Cricetulus griseus: one gene and its partner. Each later gene encodes a partner of the first gene's protein in a complex. Links are inferred from orthologs where the notes say so. Each region holds a gene or a part of one and is shown in the gene's direction. Other genes may lie near its edges.

Region 1 (5,314 bases):
GGTTTCTCTGTGGCTTTGGAGGCTGTCCTGGAACTAGCTCATGTAGACCAGACTAGTCTTGAACTCACAGAGATCCGCCTGCCTCTGCCTCCCGAGTGCTGGGATTAAATGTGTGCGCCACCACTGCCCTTCAAAAGGTCTTTTATGTATATCAGTTATCATAATAAAGATACTATACCTCCCGTCCCCAGAGGCCTCAGAGGCCTGTCTCCCAGGGTAACAAGTTCAAGGTCTACCTGGGAAATTTAGTGAGACTCTGTCTCAAAATAAAATTTTAAAAAATTGTTGAAGTGCTGGGGATATAGCCCAGTCATATAACACTTGCCTAACATGCACAGGGCCGTGCATTCAAAGCAGTGGAAAAGAAAATCAGGTTACCAGTTCTGATCCATAGAAATCAAAATAATTTCTTTTTTATAGTGTAGCTAATAAGATGATCACCAGTCCATCAGAGTTAGTAATGTCTTTAATTGAATATGAGAACCAGCTGGCTTTAATACAATTGTCAGTTAAGATGTGTATCTATACAGAATCTGATTCAAATATTAACCATTTTTGTCTTTATCATCTGTTTCTAATGGTATATTTCAAATTTCAATCCCTTCTATATTACTTTGTCAAGTTTTGAGCTGTCATTTTCCTAACACTAATTTTACATCTTAAAAATTCATTTGTAAGTGCTCTTGGAAATATCGAAAATTTTTATTTTAACTTTTATTATGTGTATGAATATGTATGAAAGTAGCTTATGGAGCAGTGTGTATAATATGAAACTGGTTCCCATGCCAAAAGCATGTGTGCTGTGTTGAGATAAACACATATAGCATGTTAGTCATGGTTACTGGAGGTGGACAGTTGAGAGTGGGAAGGGATAGGATAATTGTGAGAGATTTCTGTTGCATTTTATACCCTTGTAAATCTTGGTGTGGCACAATTATAATTTGTTTTTGTTTTTCTTCCCAAGACAGGGTCTCACTATGTAGATCAGGCTGGCCTCGAACTCAGAGAAATTGCCTTCTCTGCCTCCCAGGTGCTGGGATTCAAGGCATGTGCCACTACGCTCAGCAGAGTATAAATTATTTTTAAGACATGAACATGCATAAAATTATTTTAAAACCACAACAAAAAAGAGCACTAAATTAAAGGGTTGCTCCTTTTGAAAGCACATATGTATGTTCTTTATTGGTTTATTGTTGGGTCATATGTAGTCTCTTTTTATTACTATGACTTCTTATGAGATGCATATAGATATTGGAATCCAGAAGGGAATTATGGGGCTGGAGAGTTGGCTCAGCAGTTAAGAACACTTGCTGCTCTTGCAAAGGAACTGGGTTCAATTCCCAGCATCCACATGGTGGCTCACAATGTCTGTAAGTCTAACTCCAGGGAATGTGATAACCACCTGTGGTCTCTGGAGGCTCTGCATACACGTAGTACCTATATAAACAAGTAAACATATAAGTAAAAATTTAAAAATTGAGGAAAAATGGATGTAAGGTAGAATATGTTAGAATTATTCCTGCTAATATTTATGGCCATATTTATTAATTTTTATTAATTAATGTAGAGATGAAGTCTTACTATGTATCCCTAACTGGCCCAGTTCTCAGTACATACCCCAGGCTGCCCTCAAATTCATGCACTCCTCCTGTCTCAGTGTCCTGAGTAATGGAATTAACAGGTGCATGCCTCCACATGCTGCTTATGTAACAGTTTGGTTTTGTTGAAGCTCACACATGAGGGTTAGAGAGGTGACTCAATGGTTAAGAGTACTTATTGCTCTTGTAAAGGACCTGAATTCATTTTCCAGCACCAACATGGCTGCTTACAGCCATTTGTAATTCTTGTTCCAGGGGTTCTGACGCCCTCTTCTGTCCTTTGTGGGTATTGCATGCACAAAGTGCAACAGTGTGCACTTACATATATGCAGGCAGAACACTGGTACAAGTAAAATAAACAAATCTTTTAAAAAGGTTAATGAGAGGGGAGGAGAGGCGGGGCAGGGGGAGGAGAGGCGGGGCGGGGGGAGAGCGCACATGTCACACTATGCTTGTAGAAGTCAGTTGACAACTTATGGGGATTCAGTTCTCTTTCCTCCTACCATATAGGTCTCAGAGGTTGACCTCAGGTCACAAGGCTTAGTAGCATGTGCCTTTACCCACTGGGCTAGCTCACCAGACCTTAATATAACAATTTAAAATACTACTATTATTTCCCAAGGCCATTTATCGGATTAAAGTGGCTTTTTTTCTTCCTAGCTTGCTTTTGTGTTTGAGTCTGAACATTAACTCATCTCAGTATATGTTTAAGTCCTTTGAAACATTAGACATATAGAATTATAACTGTAAACTCCCAAGTAAAGTATCATTTTAATAGCTAATCTGTGTAAGTCACTACACAGTGCCTTGACAGTAAGCCTGGCACTTTGGTGTCTCTGTGGAGACAGATCCATCTAATTGTCCTTGCCTTTGCTTTGCTTTAGGATTCTGATAATCCTGACCTTCGAGATCGGGGTTATATTTATTGGCGCCTTCTTTCAACTGACCCTGTGACAGCCAAAGAAGTAGTATTGTCTGAGAAGCCATTGATCTCTGAGGAGACAGACCTCATTGAGCCTACCCTCCTGGATGAGCTCATCTGCCACATTGGTTCTTTGGCCTCTGTGTACCATAAACCTCCAAATGCTTTTGTGGAAGGGAGTCATGGGATTCATCGCAAACACTTGCCAATTCATCATGGGAGGTAAGCAGGTGAAAGTTATTCTGTGAGAAGTAAGTTGCTGGTTAGGCAGTTTGTCTGTCTTCTGCTCTGTGCCTGGAAGGAGCTTGCTGTGCATTCTGCAGCATAGGAGTACAGTAAAACTATAGGAAATTATGGTGGACACCTTCTGTACTGATAAGGTTTGCAAGTTGCTTAAGTCTGGTCATTTATGGTCATTTATTAGATACTGGGGCTGAGGAGCAAGCTCAGTTGACAGTGAATCTGATCCCCAGAGCCCATGTGAAATAGCTAGGCATGGTAGTGAGTGCTTGTAGTTGAGCACTGGCGAGGTGGGGACAGGAAAGTTCTGGGGCTCATTGGCTAGCCAAACTAATCAGCAAGCTTCCTGGTCTCTTTCGACATGGAACACATGCAACATACACTTAACAAACACAGACAAATGCACATAAATGGAAAGAAAAATAAACAAGGCACCTGAGGAACAACACCTCAAGCTGTCCTCTGTCCTCTATTGGTTGGCAGAAAACAATATTAGATGCTATTTCTCATATGTAAATGACTTATGGTAAACTATAGATAAAATACTTCTGTAGGATTGCAATGTGTAAACAGCTTAGATTCTCTCTCTCTCTCTCTCTATATATATATATATATTATATATATATAATCTTTCAATTATATATGCCTAGTTAGTTTTGTTTCACCAAATTAGTTTAATGAGATCAGTAAGAAAAGTGTGTTTGGAGCAGACCACAGGTTACATGCAGCTCTTGCTTTCTAACTTCTCAATTTTATAATCAGAGAAGAGGAACACTAATAAACTCTTTGCTTTTGTTTCTGTTTTGTTTCTCTATGTAGCCCAGGCTGTCTTGATTTTCAGAGATTTGCCTGCCTCTGCCACAACTGCCTGGCTGGCTTTTTTTTTTTTTTTTAAGGCAGGGTTTATGTACCCAAGGTTGGCCAGAACTCATTGTGCAGCCTAGAAGCTTCTATTTTCCTCCTGCAGCTTCCCATGAAGCTGGGATTGCAGGTCTAGACAACCATATCTGGCTTTATATATAGATCCTTCTCAAAGCCCCCTTAGCTGTTTCTATTTTATTTTGTCTTTAAAGACTGATACAAGAAAAATACCTTTTGGTATAAGTGGGGATAATGACTGGGGAATATAATTCAGTGATAGAGTGCTTGCCCAGCATCTCTGAAGGCCCCTGAATTCCATTCCCATCCAAAACACAAAAAGGGGGGTGCATATATATGTGATGGATTGCTGCAAATGGCATGTCTGTAAGGTCCATCCTTAACACTTGTGACATGAAATAAAGCAACACTTGAAGGCTCCCATGGGATCATTGTCCCATTCTTCATAATTATGGGAAAGCATCCTAGTGATTCGCCCTGTTATTAGGCCTGGTGTAAAGCAGCAGCAGGTCCCCATGTTTTTTTCAGGAGGCTGTGTTGAATGATTTATACTTAAGTGCTGTAGGCGAGGCCATTCAGGATTATGATACTTCACTGCCTCCTTCTCTAAGTTAATTCCCTCCTCAGAGAAGGTATGGGGACAGGACCACACCTATGCATGGCAGTAGGAGTGTGAGACAGCAGTTATTCTTGCAGAAGCAAACAGGAAGCCAGGTGTGCCTCTCAAAAGCCTGCTCTAGTGATACACTTCTGCCAGCCAGACCCTATTCCCTGAATGCCACACAGCCTTCAGAATACTGTGGCAAGCTAGGGACTGCATATTCAAACCAAGAGCCTGTTGGAGACATTTCTGATTCAAGCCTTAACACCTGTTCCCTCTCTTCTTTTATTACTAGTCTTGGTTAATTCAGAGGTCTGTTTGAACCTTTTCTTCCTGGGTTTCTCTTTGTACTCCTTTAGGGAACTTAGGGACCATCCATAGTCACTGCTGGTACTAAAGAGTCTGCTGCACAGCATCATGCTTTTGTTGGGTCCTTGCTTTCATCAACTGGTTTGGGTGGCATTGTTTGCGTTCTCTTGATGAGGAAACTTTGTCATAGAGTTGTCACCTACAGTTGCACTATGTAAAGCCTATGCTTGATCTTAGATGTCTGGGTCTAGATCCCCTGCTCTTACCAACCACCTTCCCCTGATAAGTTACCTGAGATGTGTATATAAATTTCTTTCCAAGTTTATTCTCTAGTTCTGGCTGCCAATCACTTGTCTTTAGTTGACTGCTGGACATCTATAGTTATTTTTCTTAACACATAACAGAATTAAGCATCTTGAAGCTGTGGTTGTAGCTCGGTGGTAGAATGTGTTCTTAGCGAACAAAACCTGAGTGTCTTATTTTTTTTTTTTATCATCCTTCCAGATTCCCCTATTGGCAGCATCACTTATCTTTTCCTTAATGTTTGTTTATTGTCATTCTCCTTACCCCTCCATGTTCAGATCTTGTCAAAAGCTACTTAAGTTTTGTTTTTTTTTTAACATGTATTTATTTGTTGTGTGTACGTGTACATGTCTCACAGAGGACAACCTATGGGAGTCAATTCTCTCCTTCCACTGTGTGGATTTTGGGGATTAAACTTGATGGCAGGAACATTTACCTCCTGAGACATCTCAGCCATGTTTA
Region 2 (5,314 bases), on another chromosome or scaffold:
TAGCTGGCCTGGAACTTAGTATGTAGACCAGGCTGTCCTCGAATCCACAGAGATCCACCTATTGGGATCTGGGGCAGGTGTCACCATACCCTCCCTGTATTCTGTAAGTATTTTTATTTTTTAATAATGTGCATATGTATGTATGAACCTGAGTGCAGGCTCCCACAGAGCCCAGACGTATGAATTCCCCTCGAGCTGGAGTTAGAAGAAGCATTGTGAGCTCACCAGTGTTCTTAACTGCTGAGTCACCTCAGCCCCCATTTCATTTTTATTTATTTTTTTCTCTTCTGAGACAGTCTTGTGTGTGCCAGGCTGGCCTCTAACTGTATGTGTAGCCAAGGACAGTCTTTAATTTCTGATCCTTCTGCCTCTACTTCCCAAGTGCTAGGATTATAGGCATGCTCCATCATACCTGGTTTATGCGGTATTGGGGGTGGAAACCAGAGAGCGTCACACATGCTAAGCAAGCACTCCATCAAGTAAACAACGCCCCAAACTACTTTCCCCCAATTTATAGATGATGAAACTGAGGCTCATGGAGATCTCACTCAGGGTCATTCAGAGTGTCAAACTAAGGCCCTTGCCCTTAGCCACTGGGATAGCTTGCCTGACTCTGATTAGGTGCCCTGGGAGAGGGTGGATGCGTAGAAGATCACTGTAGCTCTGGCTGTGTAGTTTGGCTGGCCTCAAACTCACAGAGATCTGCCTGCCTCTGCTTCCTAAGTGCTGGGATTAAAGGTTTTTTTTTTTTATACATGATCTCAAGGTGTGATCTGGGCTAGTTTCTAATTTAGAATCCCCCTGCCTCTTCCTGGGATTGCAGGTAGGCACTGCCATACCTTGCTTGGAAAGTGCATTTTGGATATTGAGAAATAGACGTTGACTGTGTGGTGGGAGCTTGTGGGGTGTGTGTGTGTGTGTGTGTGTGTGTGTGTGTGTGTGTGTGTGTGTGTTCAGAGAGGAGGGGGGAGCTTTCAGATACCCCAGCTATCACTGTGGGCACCTCTACTTTGACTTGCTGTGTGATCTTGCATAGGTCCTGTGCCTCTCTGGGCTTTAGTTGAATTACCTATCAACTAAAGGGTTGAGTAGAGGGTCTTCACAGCTGGACTTGGTAGCCAGTGTAGAAGTTGGCAGTACTGCAGAGAAAGGTCAGGTCAGGGAAGGAGGAATGTAGAAAAATGTCAAGCATTTGAGGTCAAGGAGGAGAGACTGTTTTGACAGCAAAGAGATCACCAGTGACCTTGGCAAGCTTTGTCCCTTTGGAATGAAGTGAGCGGAAGTGGCTTTGGACAGGGGCCAGGAAAGGGCTGAGCCAGAGGAAATGGGAGAGTGGGACCCAGAGATAGGGGAAGGATGCCTGCCTTCAGGCAGGGATGGATAATGTGACGAGGTCATTCATGATTGATTAGTATTGCCTGCCTTAGGCCACAGTTGAGAAACAGGGAGGCACTGCTGTCTATTAGCAATGTCTGTCAAGGACATAGGCATTGGGCATGGATGTGTCTCAGGTTGGAACGGTGGGCTGGGTATCTTGGGTTGTGGGGAAGCAGCATTGATTATTAGGAAATACCCAAGAACCTTTTCCCGACCTTTGACTAGGCTGGAGGCAGTTTGCCTTATGGCAAGTTGTGTGATCCAGCGATCAGGAGCAAAAGTAGGCACTCCAACCAGTTCCTCAGCTATAGAATAGGCATGAGAGACCTTCAAGGCTGCTGTGCCTCCATTGTTGTTTGGTATGGCGGCTCTGCATGTTCTGGATATAGTGCTGTGAGTTTTGGTTTCTTCCAGAGCAGGGAGTTGTTCTGGTGTTCTTATTGCCTGACACAGAACTGGGGATACCATGGGGACCCTCTGCTTCCTTTTGGAGGATCTAATGGATGGGACGTTGTCTAGGGTCATCTCAGTTGGGGCTCAGGAGGCCCAGGGGGCATCAAGTCAAACATAGCTGGTGCTGACAGTTCTATACTCAGAGAACATTGAGTGCCAACTGTGTGTCAGGCTCTGGGTGACCAGTCAGCAGAGTCCTCTTACCTGGGTCTGAGAGGAGGGGTAATACTTGCAGGGCCCCTCCCATGCTCACTCACAGTGTCAGTGAGGGACAGCGTCTTACTCAACACAGATCCTGAGCCATGAGCCATGTGTGAATGAAATGATAGAGTCCCTGGAACTCAAGGCTCTGGGGCATGGCCAAAGAAAGCAACAGGGAATCCAGAGGGGACAGGGACATGGTAGTGTCCCTTAAGCCCAGGACTCCTCCCCTTCCTGACAGTATCCTAAGCTGTATCATGGCCTTTCCATCCTAGCTGGTGGGGAAGGCACAGGACTTGTGGAATGGGTACCTCCTATGGGTGTGGCATCTTTGGGTTGACAGGCGAGACCCTCACAGGGCTGTGCTCTTATCCCCAGTGACCTCGCTCTCCCAGATAAGCTTGGCCCCATTTCCTACTGTGTGATGGGTGCCCTTAGCCTCAGCTCCAAGGAGGAACTGAGGGATGGCCAAATTTTCCCTTGGTGTCCCCTTTACCTCAGCACTCTTTCCTGCATAGGGACCAGGTGGGGCCCTTCCCAACTCTCCCCTGCCCTTGCTGACATTAGTAATGGCCAGGACATCTTGGAGGGCCCTTCCCATGGGCCATGGCTGCAGCCCAGTGGAGCTAGTAAAATCATTTAACTCTAACCTTAGTCCCTCTCCTTGGGCCACTGTATCTTTGCTGGTCCTCACAGCCACCCATATCTAAAGTGGGTGTGGGCTGGGACGTACCATCTGGTGGGTAACTACCTGTATTTACTGTGGTGGCTTTTTTGTCCCATGCCTTCAACTCTTGAGCCTCATTTTCCTTATCTGTAATATGTGTGTCTTAATTAGGGTTTCTATTGCTGTAAAGAGGCACCATGTCTACGACAACTTTTTTTGTTTGTTTGTTTTTTTGAGACAGGGTTTCTCTGTTGTGTAGTTTCAGCTGTCCTGGAACTCACTCTGTAGACCAGGCTGGCCTTGAACTCACAGAGATCCACTTGCCTCTGCTTCCCGAGTGCTGGGATTATAGGCGTGCACCACCACTGCCTGGCTACCACAGCACCTCTTACAAAGAAAACATTTTATTGTGGCTCTCTTGCAGTTCAGAGGTTCAGTTCATTATCATCATGCTGGGACATGGCAGCCTGCAGGCAGACATGGTGCTGCAGAGGTGGCTGCTACATGTTGATATGCAGGCAACAGGAAGTAGACTGAGTGTCACACTGAGCAAAGCTTGAGCATAAGAGACCTCAAAGCCCACCCCACAGTGACATATTTCCTCCAACAAGGTCATACCTACTTGAACAAAACCTCACCTCCTAATAGTGCCACTCCCTTTGGAGGTTACTTTCTTTCAAACCACCATAATGTGATAACCCCATCTCAAAGAATCAGACTGAGGTCTCAGTAAGGAGGTGGGACCATTCACCTTCAGCATTGAGTTTGGGCACATGAGATGGCATAGTCAAGTCTTGACTCTAGACTGACTGACGGACTCTGTGACTTGGTTTGACTTCCTGGGCTTTGAAGTGGCAGTCTGCAGTGTGTGGCAGCTTGCGGGTGCTCCTAAGGGAGAAAGGGGACAGTGTATGTGAAGCTGGTCAGGGTTTGGGTAGGCTGGGAGGTAATAGCTAAGGTGAGGGTGGGGGTAACCCCAGGGCCCTTTGTAGGTGTGCTGAGGAGGTGGGTGGTGAGAGCCAGGCCTGCTCAGCACTCTGAAGACGACCTGTCCTGTGCTAGAGTTACCAGAGAACTGGACGGACACACGGGAAACTCTGCTGGAGGGCATGATTTTCAGCCTCAAGTACCTTGGCATGACACTGGTGGAGCGGCCCAAGGGGGAGGAGCTGTCAGCAGCTGCTGTCAAGAGGATCGTGGCCACAGTGAGTGTCCAGACCAGGAGAACAGGAGCCTGGGCCAGCTCCCCCTGCCCCAGCTGCCCTTGTCCCCAGGTGGGATCTGTATGCCGTGAGTGATCTCCTGTGTCCAGCTCAGGTATTTCTGGAGATGGCCTTTGTATTTGCCCATAAGGGTCAGCTAGCAGCCTCTTCAGGCCACCCTGGCCTTGACTACTTCCAACGTCAGTCCCCACCAGGCTCCTGGTGACTCACTAGCCCCAAGGAGGGAAGGAAGTTATTCCCGGTTTACCATGTTCTCACTGCTTGGCTGTGTGGTCCACAAAGTTTCCTTCCCCTACCTCTGAGTGGGTGTGGGCCCTTTAAGTCCATTCTCTAGGGTAGCCTTGAACTGTAGCTCAGGCTCTGGCATGTGGGTGGAGCTGGGTTCCTAGGTCATGGTGCTGGCAATCTCCCAGCTACATGTCCCTGGGCTTGTCCCTTCTCCTAGGAGTCCCCAGCTTCCTGGACAGGGGGTATTGATCCCCTCCTGTGAGGGCCAGCTCTCACCAGGCCTCAGGCTGTGGGTTGTCCATTTGTGTCTCAGGAGGGTTGTCCTGGTTTGCTTTCTGTTGCTGTGCTAAAAACACTGACCAAAAGTGACTTGGGTAGGAAAGGGTTTGTTTGTCTCAAACTGAGGGAAGTCAGGACAGAGACTGAAGCAGACACCTTGGAATGAAGCTTTTTGGCTTGCTCAGCCTGCTTTCTTATATCCAGAACCTCCTACACAGGGTAACACCCCGGCTCCCCAGGGGACCGGGCCCTCCCACATCAATCACCAGTCAAGGAAATACCCCCCCAGACTTGGCTATAGGCCAGTCTGATAGCTGTGCTTTCTTAATCAAGAATCCCTCTTCCCAGATGACAAAAGGTAGCCGGCACAGGGTGCTGGTTTAATGTCCACCCCCTGGCATCTTCCAGTTGTCTGAGCTGAGGGGCCTTGGAGCAGTGAGGTACAGGCTACTAGACAGGCTCCTCTGACCCCTGTGTGCCCCTAGGCCAAGGCCAGCGGGAAGAAGCTGCAGAAGGTAACTCTCAAGGTGTCGCCCCGGGGAATCATCCTGACTGACAGCCTCACTAGCCAGCTCATTGAGAACGTGTCCATTTACAGGTATGCCCAGCAGGGAGTGGTCATGTCTGCTCTGCCACTCAGTATGATTGGAGTGTCTTGTCTGAATCTAGGCTCAACAGCTGTCTGTCTGGGGTCCAGGGAATCTCAGTTTCCATCTGTGAATGGGCTGGGGGCAGGTCCTGCCTCTCTGTGCTGTTACTGTGGTGCTAGCAAGTAACCCACAGCTCACAGGGGGCTGTGATGTGATGATGGGCACTGCTGTCCCCTAACCAGCCGAAGCCGCCTCAGAGGGCCTGTGCTTGGCCATGCACCTCGGCTGCTGCTAAG

What was found.
Region 2: the proteins of Ap2b1 (region 1) and Ldlrap1 are in contact, whole or in part, in a crystal structure (PDB 2G30), measured with the Homo sapiens proteins. The link is inferred for Cricetulus griseus from reciprocal best matches to the Homo sapiens genes AP2B1 and LDLRAP1. Residues at the interface, in NP_001273.1 of Homo sapiens: Arg834, Gln835, Phe837, Leu838, Trp841, Glu849, Gln851, Ile876, Ala877, Arg879, Val881, Glu882, Gln884, Met886, Tyr888, Glu902, Arg904, Ser915; in NP_056442.2 of Homo sapiens: Asp253, Leu255, Asp256, Ala258, Phe259, Ser260, Leu262, Ala263, Gln264, Arg266, Thr267.

The regions. Positions count from the first base shown.
Region 1 is NC_048600.1:96,580,896-96,586,209, forward strand, and holds part of Ap2b1 (AP-2 complex subunit beta), read left to right. Parts: intron 1-2,482; coding exon 2,483-2,742; intron 2,743-5,314. UniProt on the Homo sapiens protein: Component of the adaptor protein complex 2 (AP-2). Adaptor protein complexes function in protein transport via transport vesicles in different membrane traffic pathways.
Region 2 is NC_048595.1:18,529,911-18,535,224, forward strand, and holds part of Ldlrap1 (low density lipoprotein receptor adapter protein 1), read left to right. Parts: intron 1-3,760; coding exon 3,761-3,903; intron 3,904-4,913; coding exon 4,914-5,026; intron 5,027-5,314. UniProt on the Homo sapiens protein: Adapter protein (clathrin-associated sorting protein (CLASP)) required for efficient endocytosis of the LDL receptor (LDLR) in polarized cells such as hepatocytes and lymphocytes, but not in non-polarized cells (fibroblasts).